Xenopus tropicalis: one gene and its partner. The protein of the gene in region 1 purifies or fractionates together with the protein of each later gene. This does not show direct contact. Links are inferred from orthologs where the notes say so. Each region holds a gene or a part of one and is shown on either strand. Other genes may lie near its edges.

The links.
Region 2: the proteins of csgalnact2 (region 1) and slc30a1 purify together in Homo sapiens (co-immunoprecipitation; 3 studies listed by BioGRID and IntAct, counting the BioPlex papers as one, with this or other methods). This does not show direct contact. The link is inferred for Xenopus tropicalis from reciprocal best matches to the Homo sapiens genes CSGALNACT2 and SLC30A1.

Annotation. Positions count from the first base shown.
Region 1 is NC_030683.2:50,283,262-50,299,315, forward strand, and holds the start of csgalnact2 (chondroitin sulfate N-acetylgalactosaminyltransferase 2), read left to right. Parts: upstream 1-7,348; 5' UTR 7,349-7,480; intron 7,481-12,667; exon of another isoform or gene 12,668-12,786; intron 12,787-14,275; exon of another isoform or gene 14,276-14,376; intron 14,377-16,054. UniProt on the Homo sapiens protein: Transfers 1,4-N-acetylgalactosamine (GalNAc) from UDP-GalNAc to the non-reducing end of glucuronic acid (GlcUA). Required for addition of the first GalNAc to the core tetrasaccharide linker and for elongation of chondroitin chains.
Region 2 is NC_030681.2:14,911,058-14,927,113, forward strand, and holds slc30a1 (zinc transporter 1), read left to right. Parts: upstream 1-7,498; 5' UTR 7,499-7,670; coding exon 7,671-8,259; intron 8,260-14,495; coding exon 14,496-15,388; 3' UTR 15,389-15,960; downstream 15,961-16,056. UniProt on the Homo sapiens protein: Zinc ion:proton antiporter that could function at the plasma membrane mediating zinc efflux from cells against its electrochemical gradient protecting them from intracellular zinc accumulation and toxicity.

The DNA of each region.
Region 1 (16,054 bases):
TTAAATGATTATTTTGGAACAGGTAGCAGCAGAGACAGCTAGTTCTGCATAAAATATGTGTTGGGATTCCCAAAATAATGCATATTTGTACACAGATATCACTGTTATATATGAAATATGCCTCCTTTCATTAAGTAATGCATCATACTCACATGCCACAATTTGTGTTACAATGAATACTTAACTATGAGAGAATACAAAGAAGTAGAACTAAACTGATTTTGCTTAGTCAGTTAAGGGAGATACTCTCCTTAGAAAAAGTAACCAAGTAACCTCATATATGACAATAATTTAACGAAAATACATAGATAATGGTTTCTTAACCTGGTCCCAGTTTTGTGAACCCAAAATAGTCAGAATCAGTTTCGCAACTCATTTTATTTGTTCTTTTAATAACAAGTAGCAATTTTATTCTATTTAAGAGGATCAAAAAGACCCTAAGCAGCATGGGGACCCATATTTGGTTCCAGACCCATAGGTTAGGAATTCCTGATATAGATCATGTGTGTTTATATTAACGCAATCTTAGACTCTTTAGTCTGTCACTGGTGGTGGTGTTGCACTAAGAAAGTCATTCATAGTGCTGTTGCAAGCAAATGGTTACAAGTACAATTTCATTGAAGGAGAGGTGTTCATTTTCATTACAAAATACTCAAAACAAATTCAAGTTTAAGTATTTTTTCTTCTCACGTTAATTTTTATATGTATTTTTTTAATACAGAAAATGTATATTTTGTATATTGTTTTCACTCCCAAAAGTTTTTTGCTTTAATGAAAGGTGCTCATGGTGAACCTGCTGAAATATTACTATTGGTCATGTGTGGTGGGAGGATTTTATGGGCTTGCTATTTTGAAACTCAGCATTATTACACTACTGACTAAATAATTAAACACAGTGGATACTTATTTGTCAGATTGAGCATCACAGGGCACTTAGGAAAGATCTATCTGTAATATAAAGGTTGGTCACAGATGGATATAAGTTGCACCTCAGCAAATAGTTGAGGACACCTACTAATTTCAAACTTCTAGTCCTTTGAAAGGCTCTAAGTTTGTAATGCTTACTTTTAGGTTATGATATTAAGCCTATAGGCACATTTCTTTTTTTATTAAGAAGTCACAATGGTTAAAATCCAAATTTGAAGGCAAATAAAACAGTGTTTATAATCATAACTGAACCATTGGCCTTTTAGTTGTTTTTTTTATAGTTTTCAGTTCATAATTCCAAAAGTCTGCTAAGTTATATGTCTGTGGATTTAGATTTAGTTTCTAAAATGTTTGTGAAGTGTTCAATTCCTTAAATATAGAAAGGGAAAAATGGCAGAAAGTTCTCCAACTTTGAAAGGGACAATAACATCTTTTTTTGCCCCCGGTAAGGTTTTTCATACTTGTGCATCTCATCTCATTTATTACAATCAGATCCTCTGTAAACAATCACAATAATAAAACAAAAAAAAACTTTATGTTGTATTTGCTCATATAGTGTTCATTAGCCATAACATTTAGGAGCTGTATTACAATACATCAATTCTAAAAACAGAAAACCATGGCAAAAATGTAATTTGTGATAATTTTTAAGTATCATTTATTTCTGTCACTAAACATGTTTGATCATTATCAGTTTATTGTGTTCTGTAATGTTCATAGAAGATAGAAGTCAGTTCACCTACCTTACTCGCTTATAAATTGTTCTTGTTCATGCCAGTGAGAGTGCCACATACAGTAAACAATATGCTTATTTTTCTATATTCATGGTTTTTGTCTTTGTAAAAAAATGTTTTTCTTATTGGAAATAATGTATGCCAACGTTATATTATGATTATTTAACACTGCTTCATAGAAGACAAGATATTTGGAGCAAGAATGCAAATTGCAACATAACAAGAATATGGCATAATGGAGAACCCAATAATCTTTACAAAAGACCCAATCTACATTTTCTGTATTTTTATCCAAGAATGGTTTCCCAGATACAAAAGCAAAGGTTTGGCAGCAGATGGATAAAATATGGTTAACATTTTGATCTGCAACAATTATGACCCAGCATTTTACAAATGATAGCTATGCTAGTGCTGTCTTCTCTATTGATGTTGGAGAGTTATCTATTTTAATAAGATTGATTCCAAATTAATCTTATTCAAGGCAGTTATGTCCAACTCATTACATTTACTGGGCCTTGTTTTTCTCATATGCATGTTCGAGGGTTGGATTAAATTAAATGATGATGGCATTGAGTCTATAGAGCCTTTAAGCAGACTACGTGCCATAAATATCCTTTGGAGGGCCACATCTGGCCCATTTGCCTCCAGTTGGACAGTTGGAATATTTTCCTTTCCAAATTTACTCCACATCTGATATAAAATCATACTTTTCTTGATTGTTACATAGGGTTGAAAAAAGACCAGAGTCCATCTAGTAAAACCCTTCCATTTAAACCCAGCACACACAACCTATACTTACCAATTTATACTATCACATACATAAACTATATATACATGTTTTGTGGGCAGTCTTGTCATGACCATATTTATATACAGACACCAGAGGGCCCCTGTTAAATACAAAGGCAATGCTGTTCAGAGCAAGAGAGCATGCACAGAATATACACCATACAGTATGTGACAGTCAACAAAAGGGAAGTAGGGCTGCCGGTTTGGTGCCTAGGGCAGCAGCAGACCACTGCTTGTTCCTGAGCCTTGTGGCACAAAACCTCATAAACAGTAGTGTATAAATAATAGAAAAAGAGGTTTGTCTGTCATTGAACATAATTTCCTAAATACCCTTAGGTGCATTTTCTTGGGATCCAACTCTCTGAGTAAAGCATGGATTGAGCACATTTTGGGCACATTTTTAAGCCCCACCCCGAGAAATGACCCATAGAAAGTTATAGGTAATGGTTAGGTTGCCATTACTACGCAGTACTTCATTAAAGGAGAAGGAAAGGCTAAGTCACTTGGGAGTGCCAAAATGTTAGGCACCCCCAAGTGACTTAGATCGCTTACCTTTTACCCCGGGCTGCTGCCCCTGTACGAAGAGAACATTACCAGCCCAGGGTAGCAGAGAGCGCTTCCTACTTCCTATTCGCTTGCACGCGCATGCGCAGTAGAGTGAAAAGCCGAACTTAAACAAGAAAGTTGGCTTTTTACTCTACTGCGCAGGCACCGGTCCACGGATTTCGCCGGCAGAAGAAAAAGGAAGAAGGAAGCGCTCATTACAAGTACCCTGGGCTGGTGCTTTTTTCTCCTAACAGAGGCACCAGCCCAGGGTACAAGGTAAGTGATCTAAGTCACTTGGGGGTGCCTAACATTTTGGCACCCCCAAGTGACTTAGCCTTTCCTTCTCCTTTAAAGTGGACCTGTCACCCAGACATGAAAATCTGTATAATAGAAGTCCTGTTCAAATTAAACATGAAACCCAAATTCATTTTTAGATTTACACATCCAAACCCATTATAAAGGCATATAAAAATCCCAGCTGTCAATCATATATTGCTTGCCCCGCCTCTATGCCTTAGGCATAGAGGCGGGGCAGACAATAACTTTAGCTTTCCATTCAGCACTTCCTAGATGTCACTGCACATCTCACTTTTCCCCTCCCTCCTTCTCATCTACCTGTGTAGCCAGTGCATGGGCCTGGGCATCTGGTCCCCCATTCTGGCACATAAACAAGATTTTGGCATGATACAAAGCTTGCCTTAATAACAGTGTCCACAAAATGGCGCCTGCCTGCTTGCTTTGATTGAGTAATTCCAAGACGGAAGGAAACAAGGTTTATATTATTTTTATAGAGTAAGTAAAGTTTATTTTGCTCAACTAACAATATAGAAAATAATTTGGACTTATTTCTTAGGGTGACAGGTCCGCTTTAATACATTAACATGTATACACATTTATATCTGGAAGTTTAGATAATGTTTATGCACATAAGTCCAACTGAAGTAGAGAAGGGGGTTATATTTTCTCTTTAAGTGCTATAAGTAGTGGTGTAATGTCATTTACGGAATTGCTTCATGTAAAAAAAAGACTTTACATGTAGGTATCCTTTGTAGCTGTGCAGAAATATAGAAGCAACCCATGTGTCATTGCTCATAGCTTAATTTGATTAAGGGGAGTGTCTTGTTAACCATTGATACCCAGTCAGGGACATTGGGGGCTTGGGGCACCATCCACTTAATTATCAAAAGTTTTCTAGCATAAAAGAGTAAGGCCTGTGCTAGTGACCTGGTCTTAAGAAGGGGTAGTATGTCATCCACTAGGCCTAGTAGACAGACCTCTGGGGAATAAGGGCCAGGGAAGGCTATTTCTTATAATCTATAACTCCTTTTCAGAATTTGACAATCTGGGAACAACTCCAGACCATGTGACAGAAGGTAGCTTTGCTCTCTTCACATTTGGGGCATAGTGCGCCAGGATTTCGCCCCAGTTTTTACCAATCTAAGTGAAGTGATATAGATTTGATGAAGGAACTTAAATTGTATAAGTCTGTCCCTCAGTAAAATTAGATCCCCATACAGACAGTCTGTTGCTTCCTCCCATTCCTGCTTGGAAGTATTGCCATAGATGTAGATACTGAAAGAGCTGAATGTCTTGGCCCTCTGCTTTGTGCCCGACTTCTCCTAGTAGCTTAAATTTAAGTCTCGGCCAATATATAAAGTCCTGCAGGTCCCTAAGATAATGTTGCTATTTTTCCAAAGGGCATCGACGGATGAAAGCAACACTTCCCGACAATTTGCAGGCTGCCCTCCATGCCCAGTGCACATTGACTGAACAGTGAACATTTGACTTAATTTATTTATTTTGGCTGTTTAGCTGCAAATCTGAATTTTTTCAGTTGTCCGCCACAGTCAGTTAAATGAGAAACACGTGGCTGGCACAATAGCTGACTTGGTTCAGTGGCTACACAAGTACTGGTACAGCAGGTGATTCACAGAGATCGCAGTGACTGATTTGTGAGGCAGTTGATTTGGGCACTTCTTCGCTAGTGTAATCCAAATGTGAGCTAAACAAAAGACATAGTATGGTTTTTCAATTTTTCTGCTGCCTTATCAATCATGCTTTACATAACTACTGTAAGCAGGTTACTTAACTAATCTGTAGAAAAAATTGCAGTTAAATATCATACTAATATATATATATATATATAAAATAGCCAACAGCAGCAAACCCACTAGAGGTGTGTGGCCATAGTCTAATGCGACACAGGGCTGAATCTTGGCCAGAGTTTGACAGAGAAGTATAAAACCAAGGACTAGGTTTGTGAGGTTATTTCCATGTACAAAAGCCTTATTCAAGGTCAGACTCCATTCTACATCTTCCAGTACTAGTAGCCCATCATTTGGGGAAAATTGTATGAAATTGACTATGCAGGTGAAACAGAGTAGGATGTTGTGGTTTCTTTGAAGAGAGGCTATTATGTGGAACGCTGCTTTTAAAGGGACACAAAAGCCTTTTTATAAGTACAGAGAGATGTCTAGTCCCTAATAGTTCTTTGGAATTCAAGCTACTTCAGTAGCAGCTGTTTTTGCCTTTCAGCTTTGTTTAACCAAATGCATATCCTGAACACCATCCACCTTGCCTTTGCTCCTCATTTGATGTCATATGAATGAGCAATATATAAAATATGTCTCATGGAAGAACAGCTCACTCAATACAATAAGATAATGACTATTATGTAGTTTGATGCCCATGGGAAGACAACCCTGCCCAAGGAGATAATTTGTGGAAATAATAATATGACAAATTGATTAGCTAATGAAAATAGTAGCATAGATTAGAAGGTGTATAAGCAAACTTCATAAATATTAGGGATGCACCGAATCCAGGATTCGGTTTGGGATTCGGCCGAATTCATGTTCCTGGCCAACCGAATCCTAAAAATCACGTGACTTTTTATCATGTAAACACGGAAGTTGAAAATGTAATCTTTTCATAACCCAACTAGCATATGCTAATTAGGATTCGGCTTCAGTTTGGTATTCGGTTGAATCTTTTATGGGTTTCGGCCGAATCTAAAAAAGTGAATTTGGTGCATTCCTAATAAATATTGTATTCAGCCCCAGGGGAATCCATGCCAGAAGAGATGTCACACGCAAATGCCCCATTGAAGCCAAAAATCGCTACCCGTGAATGAGCAAATGCTTCTAATGACGTCACCACTTTTTGATGCAAAGTTCGTAGGATTGCAGAAAAATCGGGAGAATGCTATTGGGCAACTGGGGTGCAGCCAAAAGCTTTAACTATGAAAAAATTAGGGGGGGGGGGTTAACAGCTCTTGGGGGCACATTTACTTACTCACGAACGGGCCGAATGTGTCCGATTGCGTTTTTTTCGTAATGATCGGTATTTGGCAATTTTTCAGAAAAATTGTCGCGACTTTTTCGTTGCCATTCCGAATGTTGCGCAAAATCTGGCGATTTTTTCGTAGCGTTACTACTTGCGCGAAAAATCGTGACTTTTTCGTAGCCTTCGCGCCGAGTACGAAAGATTCGGATTCATTCAAGCTTCAGTATGGTGACTTTTCTTGGGCCAGGTTGGAGCTGCAGGGTGCCATTGAGTCCTATGGGAGGCTTCCAAAATCATGCTAAGTCTGAAAGTTTCGGCCGCCGCTTACGAGCGCTCAATACAAAAAAGTCGTGACAAGATACGAGCTCATCGTAATGGCTACGAAAAACTTGCGTTTTTTCGCGCAAATCGTATTGGTAACGAAAAAGTCGCGACAATTTCCGAAAAGTCGTAAAGGCGCCGAAAAAAATCGCGAAAAATGCGAAAAAGACGCAAAATGTTCGTTTTCCAATCGGAATTTTTCCAATTCGGATTCATGGGTTAGTAAATGTGCCCCTTGGTGTTATAAATAGCTTGGGAACCAATTTAGTTACTTCCTTTTAATTTATAAACAGGACTCAATTTTTCCTTTTCCTTCTGCTTTCTTTTGTTTCTACTTCCCATAATATAAATCTGTGTGACTGTTACATCAAATTCAATAAACACAGAATATACAAACAACAAATTCCCCTGCCCTTAATTTGCACAAACTCTTTTTTTTTTTTTTCTCAACTCAAGAGAACAGACTTTGATCGTGGAAGATGGCAGGGGACACTCTTGATAAAAGAAAAACAAAAAAACTTTTTTTATTTCAAGGGGAAATTGGGAGCTAAGGTGGCAGAGCGCATGGCGGTAACCAACAGGAAAGAAAAGTCCTTTCTTTTTTGTTCTCTAACACAAGTAGGAGGCGCAAGCAGAGCGAACAAGCAGAGCCACTCCAACTCACTAACAGTGCGCTACTGTGGAACGCTGAGTCCCGCCCACTCGCCACGCCCCCAAGGCGGCTCTGTGATGCGTCACTCACTTTACGTGCAGTTGTCACGCCAGTCTCGCGTGATGAGATTTGTGGCTGTGGGATTGTTGAGGAGAGAACAAGTGGGCACCCTAGCAACTGCTTTCCTTTCCGAAGCTCATTGACAGCAGGGGAACCGATAATCCAAGTAAGTAAGGCATAGCTATGTCCTTTTTAAGACCCAAAACCTACAGGGACCGGAACGACTGCCCCCCCATGGCGGCCATATATGTATCTGACTTTAATAAATGGCTGTAACCATCAGTTTTCCTTTAAAAAAAAGCGAGAGATGCTTTCCTAGAACTTATATTTCAGCTAAGACAAATCATCGCCTGTTAAGGCTGGCAGTGGCTCATGGGAAATATAGTTTAAGGATAGTTAAGTGTAGTAGACACTGGTTTTCTCTATTTTTTTTTTTTTTTAAATTGGTAACATATAGCCCAACTCAGCATGGAGAGATGTAGCAGTAACACACTGCATCATTTATATAATTGCTGTGATAATAAATAACTGAAAAACACAAGGTGCTTTGCAGATTTTTATTTCTGTTAAGTGATATTTGTTTTTAACTGGCACTTATGTCTATTAATGTGAATGGATCATAGGAAATCAATTGCTGCTGCATAATCTATAGATCCCTTTTTTAACTTAAAGGAAAAGTAACACCAAAAAATGAAAGTGTATAAAAGTAATTACAATATTATGTACTGTTGCCCTGCACTGGTACAACTGGTGTGTTTGCCTCAGAAAGACTACTATAGTTTATATAAACAAAGCTGCTGTGTAGCCATGGGGGCAGCCATTCAAAGGAGAAAAGGCACATAGCAGATAACAGATAAAGCCCCACTATATTCTACAGAGCTTATCTGTTATCTGCTATGTAACCTGTGCCTTTTCTCCTTCTTTCCAGGTTGAATGGCTGCCCCCATGGCTACACAGCAGCTTATTTATGTAAGCTATAGTACTGTTACTTTAGCAAATACACAACTTTACCTGTGCAGGGTAACAGTACATTATATTTTAAATACTTTAATACACTTTCATTTTTGGCGTTACTGTTCCTTTAAAGTAGTAACACTGACTGGTTAAAGTGTACACTGGCAGGTCTCAGGCATTTGTTTATGTCTCAGTGGCATATGGAGCTGGAGCCACAGCACACAGGTGGGATGCAGATGTTAGGGAGCATCTTTATTGGAGAACACTGACGTTATTTTCCATTGTGTGCATTGCTAACTGGCCTTGATTTAACTAAACACACTAGTTTATTTATGAAAATGTGCCCAGAAGCACTTTTTTTTTTATTTACAAGAACAGTTTGCACAATCTTAATTTTTAGAATTCTGTTTATTTTGGAATCTCATTACCATAGATTAGCAACATAGCACACATACAGAGTAATGCCATATAAGTGGTATGCGTTTCTTACACCCAGTCATAGGATTTGCTAATAATTTTACCTTTTTTTTTCTCTCTAAACATGCTTGCTTTTGATTAAATAAATCCATACTTTTTACAATATCCATAAAAGATTGCGCCAGTATTGAAATACTAATGTTGCTGATCAAAATTTCACTACATACAGTTTATAGCCTGTAGCAGTAATTTACTCTAAATAAAAATTTGTATGTACATCAGGTTATGAATGATTTTGCTGCCAAAAGATATCATCAAACAAAATTTTATTTTGTGTGCCTGACAAACTCTGGATACAGTAGAAATGTGTTTTGGAAAAAATTACAAAACAGTTATTTGTGTAATAAAATAGGCATCCACTTGGCTACATTTTTATCCTCAAAATACACAGAAACAGTGAATATCCTGTAAATTATATTTTTTTTAGATGATGCTTAGTGATGTCATCAGTTTTAATCAGTGTTCAGTGATGTAATTTGTCACATGACTCAAACTGAAAATTGTGTATTATCTCAAATGTAGCACCTGTTGTACCTTGGAGTTCTGTAATCTGTATAAAAGCACTTGGCAGATTATTTGGTACAGTGACAGTGTGCGGGGTGTTATGCACTAGTGATGTCCGGGGGCCGCCTGATATCCGCAGGTTTGGGCCGACTTCGGCACATCACTTGCGTGTCGAGGGCAGGTTTGGGTAGAGCTCTTCTGCTTTCTCTCTCCACCGGCGACCTAATACTGCCGGCTTCCTCTTATGGCTTCTGTATTTATAGGCACGCCCCGACATGCCCCGCCCCTTTTGTGCCATCATAGTGGGCGCTGGGTCTATAAATAGAGGGGAGAAGAGCCGTATCGGGTAGGGTTCGGGTTGTGAGCAGTTTTTCTTGACCCGCGCGTTACTAATATGCACTTCAGCTCTTTATAAATTATTACACGTGATTGTATATAGGCCTCATCCACTTCTATAAAATGATTAGTTTTGGCTGAACAGTGTGTTTATTCTTCAGCAAAAGGCATTGAATAGAAATGAAAACAGATCAATAATGTGGATAAAGATTTATGTGCTTATCTGAATGCTGCTAAAGACAGGAGCAGAGGAATAGGTGGTCCCTACCTGGCTTAAACCCACAAGATTATTCTATATTAATCAATGTTTGGTGGTGTAATGCTCAATTTTAAGTAAATTATTTAAACTATGAGGTTAGACTGTCAAGGTTGGGGTTGTTTTATCTGGGAAAAAAAGGCGCTTGTGAGGGGTCATGATTAGGTGATGTTCTTTTTTCCATAAAAAGAATCAGTGCAACAGAGGCCACCCCTTTTTATTGGAGGAACGGAACTTTTGTTTGTAGCAGCTTAGGTGGTTTTTTCATGGTGAGGGCAATGAGGTTTTGGAATGCCCTTCCTAGAGATGTTGTGATGGCAGATTCTGTTAATGCCTTTAAGAGGGGCCTGGATGAGTTCTTGAACAAGCATAATATTCAAGGCTATTGTGATACTAATATCTACAGTTAGTATTCATGTTGGTATATATGGTTTATGTATGTGAGTGTATAGATAGGTCACATATAGGTCTATGTGTGTGCCGGGTTCACTTGGAGGGCTTGAACTTGATAGACTTTGGTCTTTTTTCAGCCCAACTTAACTATGTATATGACTCACTGAAATTTGTGTATTATAATAACTATTGTACCCCTCCCACAGAAAATAAAGTTCCTGGAACCACCAGCAATTGCTCCAGTCATACCATGTTATGCAGAATCTTCTAGATTCTAGCAACTATCACAGGCTAGAAAAAGTTTTTACATTATCTCACCGTGTAGTGTATAACCAGCTTGATTTCAGTGACTCCAGAGCTTTTAATTACTAATAATGTTTAGAGCTTGATGCATGTGACGAACCAAATACAATACATACTCAGGTATGAGTTCCATTATCTGGAAACTTGTTATCCAATAAGCTTAGTCCCATACGTCTGTCCCATAGACTCCTTTTTAATAAAAAAATTAAAATTTTTTAAAATGATTTTGTCTTTGTAATAATAAAACAGTATCTTATCCTTGATCTTAACTAAGCTATAATAAATCCTTATTGGAGGCAAAACAATTTTATTGTGTTTATTTAATGTTTAAATTATTTTTTTAGTAGACTAACGGGATGGAAATCCAAATTACAAAAAGACCCCTTACCTGGAACACCCAAGGTTCTGAGCATTCTGGATATCAGATCCCTTATAGAAACAGACAAATGTCCACAAATGGTAACTTACTAGCTTAGGGGGTGAATATCATCAGTAGTAAATATGAGCAGGAACTCCAATGAGCAGTCCTCCAAACAGGCCCAAATTTTGTTTTGCACACATAAGAGCAGTTTTGTGTGTTTCGTGTTCTCTCAACAGTTAGTCATAGACTAAGGGGCAGATTTATCAAATTGTGTTCATTAGAGTGCCTGCTCATATTTACTAACGATGATATCAGGTCCCATACATGTATAACAAAATAAGCTGGGGAGGAATGTATTAAACACATGATTTTGTGAGCCATTAAATGTCTGTTTATATTGGGTGCATTTTTTTAATCCTAATTCCTTTTTTTTCAGTGCACAGCGGTGACAAAATAGGTTTTATGATTGCAGTACATGTAATTGGAAGATGTATGTTAGAGCCCTGCCTAATATTTTGGGCCGTTATAAAGACTTATGAATAATATTGAGGAGCAAATATATTTAGGCTGATCAGTGGAGGTTATGCTGGTGGCACAGAGTTGTCTGCCGGAATCTTTTTATTCTGTTAGCAGAGAGTTAATAACAAAGCAAAGTGAGAAATTTTACTTGTGGGCTTGAACTTCACTTCTGGAGGGAAAAGTAGGTGATTCTTGTGTGTTTTGTGAGATGAATGAGATGCAGTGGGTACCCATGGGACTCATGGTATTTAGGTTTAAACCCTGGCAAAATTCCTTCAGAATTTCTCTATTTGAGTTAATTGCCCCAATTTCTATGCTTGCAGCTTTGAGTTAATCGCCACAATAATATTAATTTGGCAAAGTAAGCCTAAAATAAGGGGCTCTTATTCTTGCTTTTATACTTTATCTGGTGTGGCAAGGAACTGATTCAGTAATGCCTAGCTGCTCAGAAATATAATTTTACATAACCCCCTCCACTGCCCTTCACCCTCTGATGTGGTTAAATGTGAATAAAAGGACCCTGCTTGCTTTTTTTTTCTCCCACTGCTGTGTACATAATTTAGCAGAGGGAAGTGTTTAGTAGCCTTAAGTTTAGAAGTGTCAGCTTGGTGCAAGAAAGAACAGTTGGCAGAAATTTGGAAAGAAAATAGTTTAGTTCACATGTGAGTTTCCTTTCTTGAGAATTCTTTTGGTAACTGTTCTGTTGACTGATCAGATACAGTGAAACCTCAGTTTTACATATTCTGGTTTTAAATTTTCCCCCGAATTTTACACCATTTTTTTCTGGTTCCCTAAAATCGTAGCTGCTAGTAAACAGACCTCATAGCCCCCTAGTTTTAATTGACATTTTGTGGTTTGTTATTTTTGCGGCTAAATAAATATTTCTAGGCTTTTTTTTAAATTCTATGTGTTTTATTCAGCCATTGACACCATTATAATATTTTATTGCATTTATTGTCGGGCTTTTTCATTTTTCATCATGGTGAGTGTATGACAAGCTGCTAAACATGGTGCAACAAGACTACAGGTATGTGATCTATTATGTGAAACGCTTGAGACCTGAGGTTTCTGGTTAAATGGATCCCATTTCTGTACCAGGCAAAATGCCTTTGTGTGTACAGTTTTTTTTTTCTTCTCTGCTTTTTAGTTTTGCAAATGTAACGAGTTAATCCTTTTTCCTGTGCTTGTCCCTGTGGTCATGGTCTATGTGCTAGTAGAAATGCTTCACACAGCACTTTTACTTACGTTGCTGTAGGGTTGAGTTACAGGGGCAGAAGCAGTAAGAACTGGAGTCAGTCAGTAGGAATTTCTCACTTGGCATCTAGCAATGATCACACCTGGAATACGCTATGAAGGAAGCAACTTTGAGGTACAATGATGGGCAAATAATACATAAAAAAACTTTATATGATATTGATTTTAATTATACTATAACAGAAATACACAAGGCAAGGTCTTGTGCTATTCTATTTTTAACTTTTGTTATTAAAAGGTATAAAGGTAAGAGACACTACTGGCCATATCTATATCTGCCTTTACTATCTATCATCTGTTTAGTTAACATCATTTAAAATGTTGTAGGCAAATAAAATGATCTAACATTTGGTGGAAAATAGTCAGGACATTTTTTATACTTTGATTTAGTCCTTATAAGGACTTAATGTCATGCATCTCCACAGAAATAATCCATTACATAAATATAATGTGTGTATTTTTTTCCTTATGCAGATAATGATACCATTATTTCCCGCCACCTTAGACCTTAGAATTCTGGTGTGAAAATTTGCTGTTAATAGTTATGCCCTACATTCTCACACTTCTGCTGTCTGCTCTATAATAAGTTCCACAGCCTTTATAGCCAAATAGATTTGTGATATGTGTCAGAAATCTGTAGGTGCTGTATAGGCGCATCACCCTTTCATTGGAAGAAATATAGAATGGTAAGCATGCTTTGGCACAGATTGATATTAGCCTATCCGCTCTAGGTAGAGTTCTCTGCCAGGATGTTCACCTGCTGGGACCCACAGAGAATATGTGGTGCGGGACAACAAAAGCTTGAGGTTCAGCTATTGCCCATAGCATACATTCTTCATACACTTCACAAAATACCCCCAATCTATTTAGAAGCAGTATAATTTTGTCCACCTTGATATTATAAGACATATGGCAGGTAATTGGTTTCAGATGCTGGTAAGTCTGGGTAGATATATGTCTAGTTTGGTGTGGCATGAGTTTCAGCTATTCCCACTCCCTTCTTCAATCATGATTGAACTGGAGGCTTATTTAGAGGCAGTATAATTTGATGCGCCTTGATTTTATTGTGGAAGAATAGAAGCACCATCAGATGCTAGACTTGTCACCACCTTTTCAGGTTTGTTTGTTTGTTTTTTGTGTTGAGGGGAAGGAGATATATTTGCCCCGTGTCATAACATATTCTAAACTGCAGATATATACACACATATACAGATTTACTTTGTGTAAAGCTAGCCTAAGCACAAGTTATTGCCTTTTCATATGCCAAATGGGGTGAAGCAGCTAAAACTTCATGGGTTTAAAAACTTGATCCACAGACGCTCCCCTCCTCCACAGTGAAGTCAGGCAGACCAGAAATTACAAGCAGATGCTGTTTCATTCTAGACTTTCTTGGCCACGTATAATCAGTGTGTGCTATCAGAATAATGACTTTATATAAATGCTGAGTCATTTTGAAAAGTGTGTTTGCTAAAAAACTAAATTATTTGGAATATGTTATAAGGAAAGCTCGGGGATGCTATTTGCCACATGGCTTAATGTAGAAAATGTGCATAGACACTGTCTGAACTACCAAGATTTTTTTTTTTTTTTTTTTTTTTACACAGACATAACCGAGAATCCCTTGTTCTCACAGTGTAATTCCTCTGGGAATTGATGTCCCTCTGCTTTCCATTGTGGGTGCTGCTTTGATTCTTAAAAAATAGAGGTACTGTAAGTCTCAGATTCTATCACTTCACAATGGGGAAAAAAGGTGAAATAGGTGTTACATTACACTTTGTGCTTAAAGGTGGCCATACACAGGCTGATAAAATATACCGACAGCAGCTTATTGGTCCATGTATGGGTCCCTTCAACGGTTGTTGGGAAAGCATACAGTCTAGTTGCCCCAAGTTTCCTTTGCGAGTGAACAAATTTACTATAAAGTGTCCATACACGGGCAGATTTCAGCTGCCGATTTGGGTCCTTCAGATACATTGGGCAGGTTATCTGCCTAAGTATGGACACCCCCGACGGGCCTACCCAACTATATGTGACCTAAAATTTGGCAGATCTCTGTCGGGCAAGTTTGATATTCCCACAGCTTCTGGGCATGTACCTGCTTCCCAATGGATCGGGAACCGCGTCGTAGGTGGGCATATTACCAAATAAGCGGATTGCACAGTGCATGGCCACTTTTGGAATAATGTTGATTAAGGGGGAGATTTACTAATCCACAAATCCGAATCCCGAAAGGGAAAAATTCGGATTGGAAACGAAAATTTTGCCATCTTTTCGTCGCCGTCACGACTTGTTCGTAGTTGTCGCAACTTTAGCGTATTTTGCGCGACTATTTCGACGCCGTCTCGATTTTTTCGAATTGAGCGAAAAAACTAACCCGATTTTTTTGCAACGACGACGAAAAAGTCGCTGAACATACGAAAAAGTTGCGACGGCGGCGAAAAAGTCGCAAAAATACAGATCATTACGAAAAAAATGCATTCGGACGCCTTCGGACCGTTCGTGGATTAGTAAATCTGCTCCTAAGTGTATAAAACTAAATGCTAAACAAGACTGTCACCATATTTTTTTGGATCTCCCAATTCTAGGGGGTGCTTGCCCAGAGCGATGGGAAATATTCGAGAGATCATGTTATTTTGCAACAGTTTAGTCCAAAATGTGACAAAAATCTGTTTGAAACTGCTAATTAATTCTCCTATAGTGTGAACAAATATTTAAGTTGCAAATGATGGAAGGAAATTAACATATTTCAGCTCCTTATCTGAGTTAATGGTTAAAGGGGAACTAAACCCCAGGATGTGTGCAACCTTTAAACACCTCAGCCAATACCTCTAGTCTGCCCCTGACTGAATCGAATTCCACAGAGTAGCATTAATCTATGGCAGCTTTCCCCCTCCCTTCACTTTATTGCAGCGGCGAAACTGACTTGCGCAATAAATAATTATAACAAGCAGGTACATGCCCAGAGGCTGTGAGGAAGCACAGGGCAATATGGACAAAAGACAGACAAAAAGTCCAAGCAACATAAATGGCATCTGTGAAGTGGTGTGTGTATTTATGTGTAATATATATATATATATATATATATATATATATATATATAATATTATAAAACTGATTCAGCGATTCACTTGAGGGCAGGCATGGTATTTAGGGAAATATGTGGAATGTTTAGTCTCCTTTAAAATGTATATGAATAAAGAGACTTAATGGCACTTGCAGTCTTTTTTTGGTGGCAAGCTTTTCAGTTTTTCGTGGAAAAAAAAAATAGAAAGAACTTTAAAGTTTTTTTTTTCATTGGTAGACCCAATTAGCCCCCCTTCTTATGAGGTTTAAGATAACACAATCACACTCTGTCTAATCTATTGCCTAATTCCTTATCTCTG
Region 2 (16,056 bases), on another chromosome or scaffold:
GGCAATTGTCATACCAGGAAGGCTATCCCTGACAAACATATTTTTCATTATGGTACAGTTTTATTTATATACCTTTGTTACTCTTTCACCAGTACAGGGGCCTGAAAGGCAGGTTAACCCTCTTCGTTCCAGACTAACTGGACAGAACAAAACAGGCCCTGACTGGCAATCTGTGAGTTCTGGGAAATGCTAGAGTATCCAAGTATTAAAATTAGATTTTATAGTCTCATTATAAGTGAATGAAACAAAAAGACTTTTGTTTGTGATCGGCTTTTTTATTCCTGTAATTTAACACAATTATTTAAACACTTTTGAGCTTTTTCTCAAATAAAATAGCAATCACAGAAAAACAAAATTAGTCACAATTTTTTTCCCCACTATTAAGAAATGATTAAATCTGCCTCTATTTGTGCCAGGCCTAGACTGGGATTCAAAATAGGCCCTGGCATTTCCATTACACAGAGGCCCCAACAGCCCCCCCCAGCCCAATAAATAGTACAGTAGCTTGTAATTGATTCTAACTACGATATAATTAATCTATATTGAAAGCAAAACCATCCTATTTACTTAATGTTTAAATGATTTTTTTTGTATAAAAAGTATGGAGATGCAAATTATATAAGATCCCTTATCCTAAAAACCCCAGATCCCAAGCATTCTGGATAACAGGTCCCATAGCTGTATTACATTTTCTTATTTATACATGGTAAATTTCTTTATTGAGGAAACTGCTCATTTCATATGACGTTGTTTAAGAAGAGGTTTTATAGAAAAAAAAAAAAAAAAAGGATTATTAAGTGATTTGCACTTGTTTCGTTAAGGGTGTTGCTCAATCCAAGTTGCATGCTACAATACAGAACATCAGGGATATAACCACAAGATGTAATGAAGCACAAGATGCTGACAAATCTAAATAAGAAGAATCTGATTGTGCCAGTGTTTTGGGGCATTTCCTGTCTGGGAATATAAGAGGAAATGCTACCCATTTATAGCCAGGTATATAACATTTCTGCAGCGTCATGTCCTTTGATTCACCATCAGAAATCCATTTTGTGGGCCCTGTGACTTAATAAAAAGTAAATATTAGAGTTTGGAATTACATTTTTCCACATCTTCGAGGACTGCCCCAATCGTGCTGGGTTTTGGGTAGAGGGGTTCACGGAACAGTTTCTATTCATGCCATGTTCACAAAACAGAACCCTGGGGGTTAGTGGAGAAGATAGCCCTAGGAAAGTACCATTGCATTCTCCTGAGAATATTACTTTTTATAATTAGAAAGATGATAGTATTTATTTGGAGATGACCCACTTCCAATACTGGAAAAAAGCTGATAAATGATGCTCCTCACTGTACAATCTCATCTACCTGAGATATGTTTGATAAGGTATAGTACCATTGGACAGCTGACCCACCACAACTGAGGCCTACACCATCAGTATAAGGGCTCTGGCACACGGGGAGATTAGTTGCCCCGCAAGGCTTTTTCGGCAATTTCCTGAAATCGCGCCGCCGCGTGCGCCATCCCACCGGCGACTTACATTTTCGCCGGTGGGATGGCAGGTGATGGCAACTCGGGGAGATTAGTCGCCCGCAAACAGGGAGTTTTGTCGCGGGTGACTAATCTCCCCGTGTGCCAGAGCCCTAAAGGCGAAGACACATAGAGCTACTAGTAGCAGCTACTTGTCGTGGCTACTAAAATAGACAGTGCTGATCATTTACTGATAATTGTCTCTACATGTGTTTAAGCAGAGGCAATTCACAGTATTGTCTATGGCAGGGGATTTTCTGAGGTTTAGTAGCCGTGAAAAAGTAGCTGCTACTAGTAGCTCTGTGTCTTCACCAGGAACTTTCACTCAGGGCTGGGCCCTTTGTTTGTAGTGAGAGGATTATCAGAAATGTTGTGGTGTAAATTTAATTGAAAAGTAATGGGTGCCAAGAATTCTTTAGAAGGTATATTTATTTATGCAGCAACTGAAGGATAACATTACAGTGGTGACAGTGAATTAATAAAACAGCAGTAAATAATTCAATATAACCTTTAAAAAAAAATATGAGCAATGCTCTATGGTCACACCCAGCCAGGTCTGCCAATGAACACTGCTTGTAGAATGGCAATCCTCTCTATAAAGAAACACCCTCCTTATCGCTAAGGCCCCTATTGTGGGTTTCCAGGTGTCTCCTGTGTACAACCAGGGTACTAACCCACTAACCTTCTGTTGGAGCTTTGGGCTGCTTGCTTACCCTGACGGGCACTAAGTGGGTGCTGACCCACAACACAAGCTGGCTAATCCTAACAGCTAAGAGAGGATTCCCCTGGGGTCTTACCCTCTATAAAGGTTAACAATGGGTTCTCTCCCAATGTAGCAGTCCCTGTAGCTCCCAAAAATCAGAAAGAAGTAGTCCTCTAAAACTCTTTCTCCAGAGACAGGGGTTGTTGGTCTCTCCACAGATCAGGGATTTCTTGAAAGATACAGGAAAAGGTGATGTACCGTGTTAGCCGGTCAAAAATGTTTACAGGGTAACCCTTTTGAAATAAAAAATAACAAAAGTGGTATATAGGTGATACCTTGATTGGCTAACTAAGATAACCATAGCAAGCTTTCAGAACATTTTTTTGAAAAAGGAACTAAAATGTTCTGAAAGCTTGAAAGATACAGTGACACCTACTGGCAAGGTGTCAAATAGCTTACCAATTTAATTAGGTCAGCAGAATATTTCATTTCAGTATTATTATTAACATTTATTTATAAAGCGCCAACATCTTCCACAGCGCTGTACAATTTCAGTATTTGGTAACTGCAACCCCAAGGGTTACACTTACAAGTGAAAATATGGAGCTTCTAGCAGCATATGCACCCAATCCCCAGTCACAGTATTTATATCCCTAGTGGGTGTGGAGGATGGGTGGGGTGGAACAGGGTGGGAGCCGGGCTGAATAGGGAAATGGGCAAAAAAATCACCCAGATTCATATATTCGGAGGCATTGAAAAAAATGAATTATTCCCTCTTTTCTCACACAAATGCGTATAACAGTATATATATATATCCTTTAAGATGATAAATGAAGGGGAAGTTCACTTTTCTAAGTACCTCTTCATTTTGTATCGTTTATGGGTTTTGATGTATTAGCCTTCTTATTCTGCTTCTTTCAAACCTGGAACTGAAAACATATGGAGGTGACTGAGGGGGTCGCTGATCCCAAAAGCCAAAATAACGATAAAAGGTAAGGCTTTAACCTTATTGTTGTTCTTATTTTGTCTGGCCCTCTCTCCTATACTTTCTAATAGCTGTATGGCTGCTAGGTTAATTAAGCCAGAGAGCCGTTCAAATTCCACACCTGTGAGTTAAAAAAGGAAAAAATGTGACAATAAAAACAAATAAAATGTATTGCAAAGCACATTAGGATACTGATGTTTATACAATAATAATACTAAGAGAAATTGTTAAATATATTTATGAAAGGAACATGTTGAATGACTGCTGTGTATGATGCCTACTAGCCCTTGGACATAGAATGAAAATGATTTAGTTCTAGTCTTCCTCCAAATGCAAGAAGATATACACCTCTCCCAGCTAAAGAGCCCCTGGAAGGGGGCACATGTTAACTATAAACAAATGGGCTGTACTGTCTATCTCTCCCCCAAAACCAGGGTCCCCCAGGCTCTCACTCTGCTTTCTTCATCCTCTGCCCCTCACATGGGCTCTGCTTAGCTCCTATGGGTTTGGGTAACCTGGGGATGCTTCCCTATAAGAACCACTGTATGGATAAGGCTACTTGCATAGACTCTCAGCATTCTCATACCATTATGCCAGTTGGGATCTGGTTTTGTACCTGACCAAAGTTTGTTGTAAAGCCAATCTTGAACACTACGGATTACGCCCCTTTCTATTTAGAAAGCCCTGCTCCATGGTAAGCTTTAATGGCTTGTGCCCATAGTCGTAACTGAATCAGATGCTGATACCGTTTTTTTATGCTACTTGTATTGGCAGAAGCACTAGTGCAGGTCCAGACTGGTATTCAAAATAGGCCCTGGTATTTCAATTACACAGAGGCCCAAACAGCCCCCCCACCAGCCCAATAAATAGTGACTGTCTATGGCATCTTACAGCAGCCCCTCTGGCATTTGCCAGAACCCACAATTCATCTGGCCAATGTATTGTTTTTTGTACTGTCCTTGCAGGCAGCGATCCTCCCAAACAAGAATGACGAAGTCCTCAGATAAAGCTTGTGCTGAGCCATGTTCCCTTTATCTTCCTCAGCAGATTTCCATTGCTGACATCAGGCTTGCACGCAGCCATCTTATCTTTCAGAACTTGCTATGCCTGTAATAAATACAATGTAAAATGAGATTTTCAGGAAAAATGAAGATCTTCAGCTGTTGAGTGACCCCCCAATAAATTAACCAACATTCTGAGCTAAAATGGGAAGATCACTGTTCTAAAATCCTATAATAACATATTTAAAAAGTTACTGCTCGACAGCTTATCAATAGGTAGTAAAAAGCAAATCATAGTAGGATAAGGATATCATGCAAAAAGTAGCATGTGTGATACTGTCTGCTTAGTAGCACCTAGATGGCCATACACCGGCAGATTAGCTGCCAATTCGGATCCTTCAGATCAATTCGGCAACTTATCTGCCCATTTATCGGCACCCCCGACAGGCCTAACCAATATCTGACCTAAAATTGCCCAGATCTCGATCAGGCAGGTTTGATTTTCCATTGCATTAAGGACTGCATAGGCTCGTTCATGTGGTCCTTGGTCTATAGGCCCTTATGCCCTAAGGATCAATTTAGCCCAATATCGCCCACCACTCCCAGTCACCAGTGAAGAACACATAGAAACATGTGGCAGGAGCGTTGGCAGGGAATATGTGACATTATGCAGTGATTGGAGGGTGGTGCAAGCAGTCAGGGTGTAAGTGTGGGATTGGGGGGCAGGTAGGGTGCAAGCAGCCAGGGGTGCCTAGGGGCACAAAGTTTTGTTACATCTGGTGCTGACGTCACGCACACGCGTTACATCACTTCCGTCCACTAGGGGGCACATTTAGGCCGGTGCCTAGTCTAGCTATGGACCTAAACACAGCCTTGCCCATGAGCAGAATGCCAGTTGTGTTTGTCAGGCTGGGCTGGAGGCATTTGGATCTTTTAATAGGCTTGCCCAAAGGGATAATAATTGGGGCCCTGTCATTTGTGTAACTAGATATTTCTGGGCCCCACAACAAATTAATTTTTAGACCCCCAGAATGTCTAGAGGTTGACCTGTTTTATTATTAATAAAAATGTATAATTATTAGAGCCTTATGGGGCCCCTATACCTCCTGGGCCCCCTTGTAGTTGCAGGGTCTGCTTCCTTCGTAGTTACTCCTGTGGGTCCTGTTAATAATATGGTAAGTTGTAAGAACATGGAGAAGCCTGACCCAAAGTTTTATATTCTGTATGTTTATGTACAAATGTGAAGAACTCTAGTGTAGGATCCGCACCCTGTGGATGCCCCAAACAGGGTTATATAATAAAAGACAGTAATTTTACTCAGAAGCAGTAACCCATAACAGCCAATCAGAAGGAATCATTTACAGGTCACTGGTTTAAAAGCAAACCTTTTATTGGTTGCTATAGGTTACTGCTCCTGGGCAAACTTTATTTTTTTTTAGCATATGGGGGTAAGCGCATAATTCCTTGAGGGTATTGGGACTTTGAATGGACTGGACTGGAATAAACATGAAAAGTTAAGTTGAACTATTTCTAAATAATGTGTTATTTGTTTCTACGTAAGCAATTGTACCTGGGAGGTCCTGAAGTAAAACACCACTATGTGCTTCCCTAGTGCGGAACTAGTTCACCAGTCTGTGAGTACTGGGGTGTTGTGTGCACTACATCCAAAAGTGTAAGAGTAAAGGTGGCCATACACGCTAAGATCCGCTCGCTTGGTGAGGTCGCCAAGTGAGCAGATCTTCTCCCGATATCCCTGCCTACAGGTGGGCAAACGAACTCTGGGGCCAAACGATAGAATTATGGGTATTGGCATCCGTCGGTTCAGTGACCGCATCAACGAGCCAATGTGGCCCCTGATCCGATTAAATTTTTAAACCTGCCCGATCGATATCTGGACGATTTCAGGCCAGATGTCGGACGGGCAGGCCCGTCATTAGTGCCCATACACGGGCCGATTAGCTGCCGAATCTAAGGGACCAGTTAGAATCGGCCCGTGTACGGCCACCTTAACTGAGAGTGCGACCCATTCAGCTAATAAACAGTTTATATTTAATTTTAGGAAAGCCTGTCCCCCCACCCTCACAAATGAAGTGACTGAGTGGGTCAAAGTGCATCACTAGTGCAGAAAGCGCAATCTGTACCGTAGCGCTAGCACTCTGTGCGCTAAAAGAGACAAAATTTCAGTTTAATAGATTGAATTTCGTCTCTTACATTTTCTTGCCACCCCTGGTAACTTGCAGGGTAGCAGCGCCCCTACCCCCCCAGTATGTGAGAGGGGAGAGTCGCACGCAACCTGTGTGGGTCTGGGCAAGGCCATAGGTACAAGCACAATGTACATATATAAGCAAGCTGTTACACTGCTAGCCCAATACAGGCCTAAGGAATGCAAGCAGGGCTGTAAAATAGAAAAGCAATGTTTTCTGTGCTCTATTCTATGAATGACAAAAGCTGCAACTCTGGGCGTGACCTGCAATATACATTATATATATATGCTTCTAGTCCTGGCTGGGCAGGAGTTGGTTACCCTACATTGTTTCAGGAGTCAGAAATAGCAGTATAAAGAATAGAAAGGGAAACAGGTATATAATATTGTAGATTGTAAGCACTTTTGGGCAGGGCTCCCTTCCCCTCTTGTATCGGTTATTGATTGCTTTATATGTTACTCTGTATGTCTCCTTGTAGAGTGTAAGCTCTTTTGGGCAGGGCTCCCTTCACCTCTTGTATCGGTTACTGATTGCTTTATATGTTACTCTGTATGTCCAATGTATAAAACCCACTTATTGTACAGCGCTGTGGCATATGTTGGCGCTTTATAAATAAATGTTAATAAATAATAATCTCTAAAAAGGAAGCTCCTAGGATCTCAGGAACAGGACTAAAGTTGCCATTTAGCAATAGCTACAAAGCCAGACCTATCCCTAAATCTTCCCCTTCACCGCCAGCCCTCCCATTTTTCACTCGGGTCCTGACTGGGAGAATGTTCCCCATCTATGTGGCTCCTGGTAGGTAAAACTCCATGACAGCCCAGCACAGAGAGGACAATCATTCGGTGCCATCTTGTCCGTCACCCTGTGCGTCTCCTCAGCCAATGAGAGGGCAGGCCGCGGCCCCGGCAATGGCGCCTGTTGCTAGGCTGCAGGAAGCTACACTCTGCCCCCTGCCAATCACACCTTAGCTAGGGGGTGTGGCCCAGGGGACGCGCCCCGCCCCCCGGCTTCGCTCCGTGTGGAAAAGACGGGTTTCGGGTGCAAAAGTTGCTGTTATTTTCCTCCTCCGGACGTCAGCGATGCCCAGTGAGAGAGAAGCCGCCTGCGCCGCCGGTCCCCGGTCCTCTCGCCCTCAGCTCGCCTCCCCCGTCCCACTGACAGGCGGAAGCTACCGTGCGCCGCCGCTGCTTCTAAGCCGCAGCGACCTTCCGACTGTGGGTTCGGTAGCCGGAGCAGCAGCGCAGCCATGTGGGAGTCGAGCCGGGTGCGGCTGCTCTTTATGCTGGCCCTGACCTTCATCTTCTTCGTGGTGGAGGTGGTGGTGAGTCGGGTGACCGGCTCGCTGGCGATGCTGTCCGACTCCTTCCACATGCTGTCGGACGTGATCGCGCTGGTGGTCGGGCTAGTGGCGGTGCGCTTCGCCCAGAAGACCCGCTCTACGGACAAGAACACGTTCGGCTGGATCCGGGCCGGGGTGATGGGGGCACTGGTCAATGCCGTGTTCCTCACCGCCCTGTGCTTCACTATCGTGCTGGAAGCCATCGAGCGATTCACCGAGCCCCAAGCCATCGAGCAGCCGCTGGTAGTGATGGGGGTGGGTGCCGGGGGGCTGCTCATTAACCTCATTGGGCTGTGTATGTTCCGGGACAGTGCGGGGCACGGGCACTCACACGGGGGGCACGGACACTCGCACGGAGCCAAGAAATCGCACCGACCCCGGGAGCGAGCAGCGGGGGAATCGGCCGCCCTGGATCGGGAGGAAACCAACATCCTGGTGGAGAACTGCGGGAACTCGCTGGCAGCCGCGGCGGCGGAGGGGATGCCGGGAAAACACGGTGAGACACCGGGCTGGGGTACATGTTATAGGGCCCGCACCCCCATAGCCTCAGCGATCCCCCCCCCCCCCAGCATTAGACTCGCCCAGGGGCCCCCCAGCTGCTGTGTGACAGTACCAATAGGGGCCCCCCAGCTGCTGTGTGACAGTACCAATAGGGGCCCCCCAGCTGCTGTGTGACAGTACCAATAGGGGCCCCCCAGCTGCTGTGTGACAGTACCAATAGGGGCCCCCCAGCTGCTGTGTGACAGTACCAATAGGGGTCCCCCAGCTGCTGTGTGACAGTACCAATAGGGGCCCCCCAGCTGCTGTGTGACAGTACCAATAGGGGTCCCCCAGCTGCTGTGTGACAGTACCAATAGGGGTCCCCCAGCTGCTGTGTGACAGTACCAATAGGGGCCCCCCAGCTGCTGTGTGACAGTACCAATAGGGGTCCCCCAGCTGCTGTGTGACAGTACCAATAGGGGCCCCCCAGCTGCTGTGTGACAGTACCAATAGGGGGCCCCCCAGCTGCTGTGTGACAGTACCAATAGGGGTCCCCCAGCTGCTGTGTGACAGTACCAATAGGGGTCCCCCAGCTGCTGTGTGACAGTACCAATAGGGGTCCCCCAGCTGCTGTGTGACAGTACCAATAGGGGTCCCCCAGCTGCTGTGTGACAGTACCAATAGGGGTCCCCCAGCTGCTGTGTGACAGTACCAATAGGGGTCCCCCAGCTGCTGTGTGACAGTACCAATAGGGGCCCCCCAGCTGCTGTGTGACAGTACCAATAGGGGCCCCCCAGCTGCTGTGTGACAGTACCAATAGGGGCCCCCCAGCTGCTGTGTGACAGTACCAATAGGGGTCCCCCAGCTGCTGTGTGACAGTACCAATAGGGGTCCCCCAGCTGCTGTGTGACAGTGCCAATAGGGGTCCCCCAGCTGCTGTGTGACAGTGCCAATAGGGGTCCCCCCAGCTGCTGTGTGACAGTACCAATAGGGGCCCTCCAGCTGCTGTGTGACAGTACCAATAGGGGTCCCCCAGCTGCTGTGTGACAGTACCAATAGGGGTCCCCCAGCTGCTGTGTGACAGTACCAATAGGGGTCCCCCAGCTGCTGTGTGACAGTGCCAATAGGGGTCCCCCAGCTGCTGTGTGACAGTGCCAATAGGGGTCCCCCCAGCTGCTGTGTGACAGTGCCAATAGGGGTCCCCCCAGCTGCTGTGTGACAGTACCAATAGGGGTCCCTTCTGTCACAAAAGTCAAGTCTTTTTCATGCATCCATTTATCCATTCATTTATTATTCCCACCCCACCTGGTAAGCTCCATTCAGCACCTGGTAGTCACCCTCTAGGCTTCTTGTAACCCCCCCCCCCCCCCAGGGGTCCCATGGGTTGCTTGTGTCACCCACCTATGACAGGTAAAATGGCGGGTCCCATGAGTGTCCCCCCCCACCTATGGCAGGTCCCGCGAGTGCCCCTCTACCTATGGCAGGTGTAGTTAAGCTTCAAGTTTAACCCCATTGAGACTGCTCCATTCAGCTCTTTGTAGGCTGCAGGGCCACGGGTGGGGCTTTCCTCTCCTTGTGGATCAGCACCTATGGCTTCTGCTCCCTGTATCCCTCCCCATCATCTACACACACTGGCCATGACTTTGTATCTAATGGTCCTGAGGCAGGCCCCATGTGCTGTTTGGATCCCACCCTCTACAAATAGGACTTCCCAACCCCTAATGGCCCTGTTTAGTTGGGTTCTGCATGGCCCTGTACATTGGGGGTATATTTAGTCCCTACTATCTCATCTTGCCAAATGATGCCCCTTCTGCACTTGATATGTAGTTCATCCTCCTACTGCAAGTCCTATCAGCCTATTGCATCTGTTCAGCCTCACTTACACCCACCTATGGCAGTGGCCTTCCTATTCTGTCTGTTATATTCCAGCCTAATATTGGACCATTGAATCCACAGTTATGTTCCTTTAGACCCTTTCTCTCTAAAAGCAACAGAATTTTTTTTCTCCATAGTTCTAAGCATTAATATGACTGGTCAATATTGGCCAGATAAGGTCCCTAATCCTCTGTGTAAAGGTGGCCACCCATGGGCAGATTTAAGCTACCATTTCAACTACTTTAGGAGTGATTTGGCAGCTTAAGTGCCGGTGTATGGGGCCCTCCGGCGGGCCTCCCCAATCAATATCTGGATAAAATTGTCCAGGCAGGTTTGACTGCATCGGCTCATTGATGTGGTCCTCAATCCAATGGGCCTAGGTCCAAATGATCAATTTAGCCCGATATCGCCCATCTTAGCAATATCTGACCTCATTAAACAAGAGGATCTTAACGTGTGGGGCCACATGTAGGCTAAGGAACATTTATTAGATGTTTCATAATATCCAGCCCCCCCTGAGCCTCGGGGTTCTTCCCATTTGTTGCCAGTGCATTTTACAGATTAGAAATCTCGCCCACAAAGTCGCTGCAGGTTATAGAATAATCCCTAGCTAGGGCTGGCTCTGTATGGCACCATTGTTCTTGGGAATATTCTGCCCCAGCCTGGCACCACATACAGAAAGCATCTCCTCCCAAAGAATTGGTTAAGCAAATAGAATTGCTAAGTAAATACGAGCAAATGCCAAGTAATCGAGGAACTTATTAACCCTCACAGCTCAGAGTTTCAGTGAATGCAGTTTAGTGTTTTGGACCTGAATTCTATTCCTCTAGTTGTGCCTTCAGTGCAGATTCCAGAATATCATGATACATCGCTTCGAGCCGTCCCTGCCTTCTGTTTCTGGAAACTTCCCTGTATCTTGACTTTTGTCACGCACAAAAAGAAAAAAAAACCCCCAGTATTTGCTGAATAAGCGTGCGCTGAAGAGAACAATCATTCTCTCTAGTGCCGGGAGCAGCTTCCACTCGCTCATGTGTTTAACTGAGTGCAAAATGGGCAGAGAGCGTCGGATCCTCGCTGAGTGCAAAGTCGCAGCCGTTTTGGCCGAGTGCAAAATGACAAATGCCGTTTTGTGTTTGTGACGTTGGCCCGGTGACTTATACACCTCTTGTGTAAGCAGAGCCAGTGCATAATCTCTCCCACATGCCTCCAGAGACCCGCATTCTTTCCCAAATGTTATTTTACACTTTAATAACTGCCAGAAGTGTGTGTGTATCGGGGGGGGGGGGAGGGTGTCGTTTTTTTAAACAGTGTTCTATAAATTGTGGGGTTAATGCCGGCACACCCCTATTTGCTGCGCTGCTGTGTAACGCGGTGGGCACGGATTGCTGGTTAAAGATTTAAGACTTGTCACTTTGTGGCTAACCACAACAACTTTTTTTTGTTCTTTGATGCTTGTTGCTCCCAAATACAAGTTGTTAAAGGGGTGGTTTATCTTTTCATTATTTATTTTTTTGTAGATTTTTAATTATTTGCCTTCTTTTTCTAACTCTTTGCAGCTTTCAATTGGGGGTCACTGACCCCACAGCCAAAAAACTATTGCTCTATAGGTTCTCTCCTATTCATATACCAGTCCCTCATTCAAACCACTCCTGGTTGCTAAGGTAATTTGGACTCTAGCAACCATATAGCTGCTAAAATACCAAACTGGAGAGATTCTTTTCACTCTCCAAAACCATGCAGGCTCACAACAAGCTCATTGGTTCGTGATAGTGTGTGTGATAGGGATCTTAGATTGTAGGCAGCACTGGGCAGGGTCGGACTGGGGTGTGGAGGGCCCACCAGGGCCCGCGCCCCCCCCTAACCCCCCTCGAATAACTGGGTTCAGTGCATCCCTAGCAGGGACTAATGGAATGGTGGGACTGAAGGAAATGATGAGCAGTCTCTGTTAGGTGCCCCATAAGCCTTTGCGGCACAGCTGCTAGGATCCTATGCACAGCTTGCTTTGCTTATTGGACTGCTTCAAACTGGGTCATTTCCAACTGTTGTGTCCCACAAGCAACTGCAATCCCTATCAGTTTGACCCTGCTGCCTGACTGGCTCCCACTGAGCGTGCCTACAGCGCTTCCCACTATTACTCCTGCTTCATGCTGAGCCATTCTCTAGGGATGAATGTGTCTTCTCCAGGAGCCCATTCATTCAGCGTTGGGCCAGATGCCATGTCCCTTAGTTCTTCTATATACAATCCCTGAAGTCACTCATTAACCCTCGGCAGCCTGTTTCACAGTTGTTTGATCCCATTTATTTGTGATTTGCCCCACACATGTGGTTACGACTAAGTGATATGATTGGTTGTCTCGGGGGCTGGAATTGTGGTTGTCAGTAACAGTTTTATGTTCGTAACAATTGACTGGGATTTTACAGAATCACACATTGATTTGTTGTAGTTGGGAGGTTGGTCTGGTCAGTGTCATGGGTGAATGTTATAAGTGTGTCCTCCCTATCAGGGATGGGATAACATTAATAAGATGTCCGGTAGCCTTCTATTCCTACCTGGCATCTCTAACTCAGCTGAAAGCCTTGTGCTTTTATCTATCTCTTCCCCCCAGGGGCTCCTTCGATGCTGATGGATCAGGAAAAATATCCACTCTGCCCTCCCCTTTAAACTGCACCCACTTACGTGATTCACCCTATACTAGCACCCATGGAAGCCACTGTAATCTATGGATGCATCAAATCCACTGTTTTGGGATTTGGCTAGATCAAAACCCTGCAAAGAAAGATAGTCATGTGATTTTAAGGGTTCGGATTCAGTCAGGCCCAGACTAATAAGCCGTGTATTCTGGCAAATGCCATAGACAGTCATTAGCGATTGGTAAAGTCAATAAAAAGCGGTTATGCATTTCCATCTGTATCCCCCCCCACAGCCTTAAGTGCAAATGGCCGATACTGCAGAGAGGTGCTGTTATGTTGCCTACTAAGCATTCTGGGCTGCCACTGAATTGCCAGTAAGTGAAGTTCAACTTTGAGCCTCGCCCTTAGTGACACCACATAATGCTTAATGGGTAACATAACTGCGGTGTCAGCCATTTCCATTGCAGTCTGGGAGCGGCATATTATTCTGTAGGTATTTACTGTACTGTCCAGTTCCACCCTGTACAGTGTTCCTCTGGGATGCACTGTGTGGGGGGAAAAAGTGATTTTATCTGCCCTGAACTAAAGCTTAAAGGTGCCCATACACCTTAAGATCCGCTCGCTTGGTGATGTCGCCAAGCGAGTGGATCTTCACCCGATATCAACACCTACGGGTGGGCGATATCTGGAGAATCCAGGGTAATTCGATCGTTTGGCCCTGGGGAGCCGATGCGGTCCCCAATCTGACTAGATTTGTTAACCTGCCTGATCAATATCTGGACGATTTCAGGCCAGATATCGGTCGGGCAGGCCCGTCGGTAGTGCCCATACACGGGCCGATTAGCTGCCGAATCAGTCTAAGGGTCCGATATAGGCAGCTAGAATCGGCCCGTGTATGGGGACCTTAACATTAATTAGGCTATAAATGCTGAACATTACATCTGGGTTCCTGTACCAGCCCAAGGCTACCATGGCCCTTTAGCAGGGAAGATCTGTGCTTCTGAAAATGCCCCCAGTAGCCCCCCATCTTCTTTCCCACCACATGCTCTGGGCTGCGGTCAATAATGTTAGCTTAGGGACCGACTTCCAACAGAAGTGACCTCATATTCTGCATAATAATTCCCGACATTCCATAAGTTTATCTTCCGATCAGCTGTCCAGAGCGCACTGTGAGCATGTGCAGTGCCACAGACACTTTTAAAGAAGATCCAAACTGGAAGCCTCCACAGGACAACTTTAAAGGCCTAGATCATCAATGAGTCCAGTATATAAAGTGCAGCATTTATAGCCATAATTCTTTTTAGGTGTTAGTTCTCACTTCAAATACTAAATTGAACCCAGGATTCTGTGCATTCCTAGCTTTGTTTTCTCTCTCGCACTTTTATATGGTCACCTAACTACTTGGTGACCTTTAAGGAGAAGGAAAGGTTTATGGGTGCCAAATGTTAGGCACCCCTTCAGCGATTGTAATTACTTACCTGATACCCCAAGCTGGTGCTCCTGTTAGCAGAAAACTGCACCAACCTGGGGTACACGGAAACGGGCAATCCAGTTTTTCCCTTCTTTCCATAAGCGATAGGTGCTTCACATTTGCTCCCCCCATCAATGAACCTTTCCTTTTCCTTTAATATCCTTATATCTTCGTGTAGGAGGCATTACGTGGTACATATATTTCCGTAACTGACACATACTGCAGTAGCAGGGGAAATATTTAACTTGCATCTCTGTTCTTTCCTCCTGTAACAGATGCCTTGGCAGAGAATATCGTAGACGGTCGAGTAAATGGAAACGTCATTGAGAACAACTTGCCAGAAATCCACGAAGATGGCACTCAGCTTAACATGCGTGGGGTGTTCCTGCACGTTCTTGGAGATGCGTTGGGTTCGGTTATCGTGGTGCTAAATGCTTTGGTCTTTTACTTTGTTTTTAACCCGTGTCCAAGCGACGAAGGCTGCATTAATCCTTGTGTAGAAGACCACTGTGATAAAAAAGTCAATGTCTCCGCTCTCTCCTCGAATCCAGACAACACTTCTTCACCTCCTGAAATACAAATGGCTGGGCCTTGCTGGGTGCTTTACCTCGATCCCTCACTGTGTGTGATCATGGTGTGCATTCTTCTGTACACCACCTACCCACTTCTGAAAGAGTCCGCCCTGATCCTTTTGCAAACTGTTCCTAAGCAAATTGACATATCGTCCCTGAAGCAGAAACTGAAAAACCTAGACGGTGTGGAAGCCGTTCACGAGCTCCACGTCTGGCAGCTAGCCGAAAGCCGCATCATTGCCACTGCGCACATAAAGTGCCATGATCCTACCGCTTACATGGACGTGGCTAAACGTATTAAAGACTTCTTTCACGACGAAGGCATCCACGCCACTACCATCCAGCCGGAATTTTCAAGCGTGGAATCGGGATCAAGAATTTCCCTGTGTGAGCTGTCCTGCAGAACTCAGTGTGCGCCAAAGCAGTGTTGCGGGAGCACGGAAAAGAACGTTTCAGGAAAAAAGTCAAATTGTGGCGCCGCCTCTTTCTCCAGTCTAGGAATGATCAGCGAATCTCCGGAGCATGCAACCAAAAGGACTAATGCTTCCGAGAAGCCTAGCAATGAGCTGAAGGTGAATGTAGACCCCAGCGTTTGATACCAAAATGTTGCTTTATTTCATGACGTTTTAGTTTTCTTACCTTTATGGACATCGATTTACACCCCTGTAAAGGGAAACATGGACCGGCTAGTTTTTATGATGCGATGTTCAGAACAATTCCACTTGTCGGGACTGTACTACGATTCAGTTGACATTCATAGAACTTTTTATGTCGTTGTTACAATTTTATATTTTGCTTCACCCAGAACACGCTGCCGTTACCGACGGTAACTGAGTAGTATTTGCAGTCTCTTATCAGAGAATTCTTTTTTTTATTTACTTTAATTTATCTCTAGCTGTTTCGATGGCATATCTAATATTTGGTGGCTGCTGACCCTTGATCATCTCTCTGCTGCTCAGTGCATGAGTGACAAGTAACGCGCCTTCGCTGCTTCTCCTTCTCAAGGATGATCGCTCGCGCGGCCTCAGTACTTCTTCTAGATACAACATGGCTGATGCTGCCGTACTGGCAAAGCAGCTTTTTGTCGGCCTGCCTGGGAAATGGCAACTAATTCTGTCAGCTGCTGTAGACTCATGCCTTTAAAATATAAAATGTTTTTCTCAAGTTATGGAATGTTTTTGCCTCTTTGGTTGTGAATGTTACAGATTCTATTATAAAAGTGTAACGTATTTCAGTTTGTTCTTTCAGACAACTCTGGTACCTC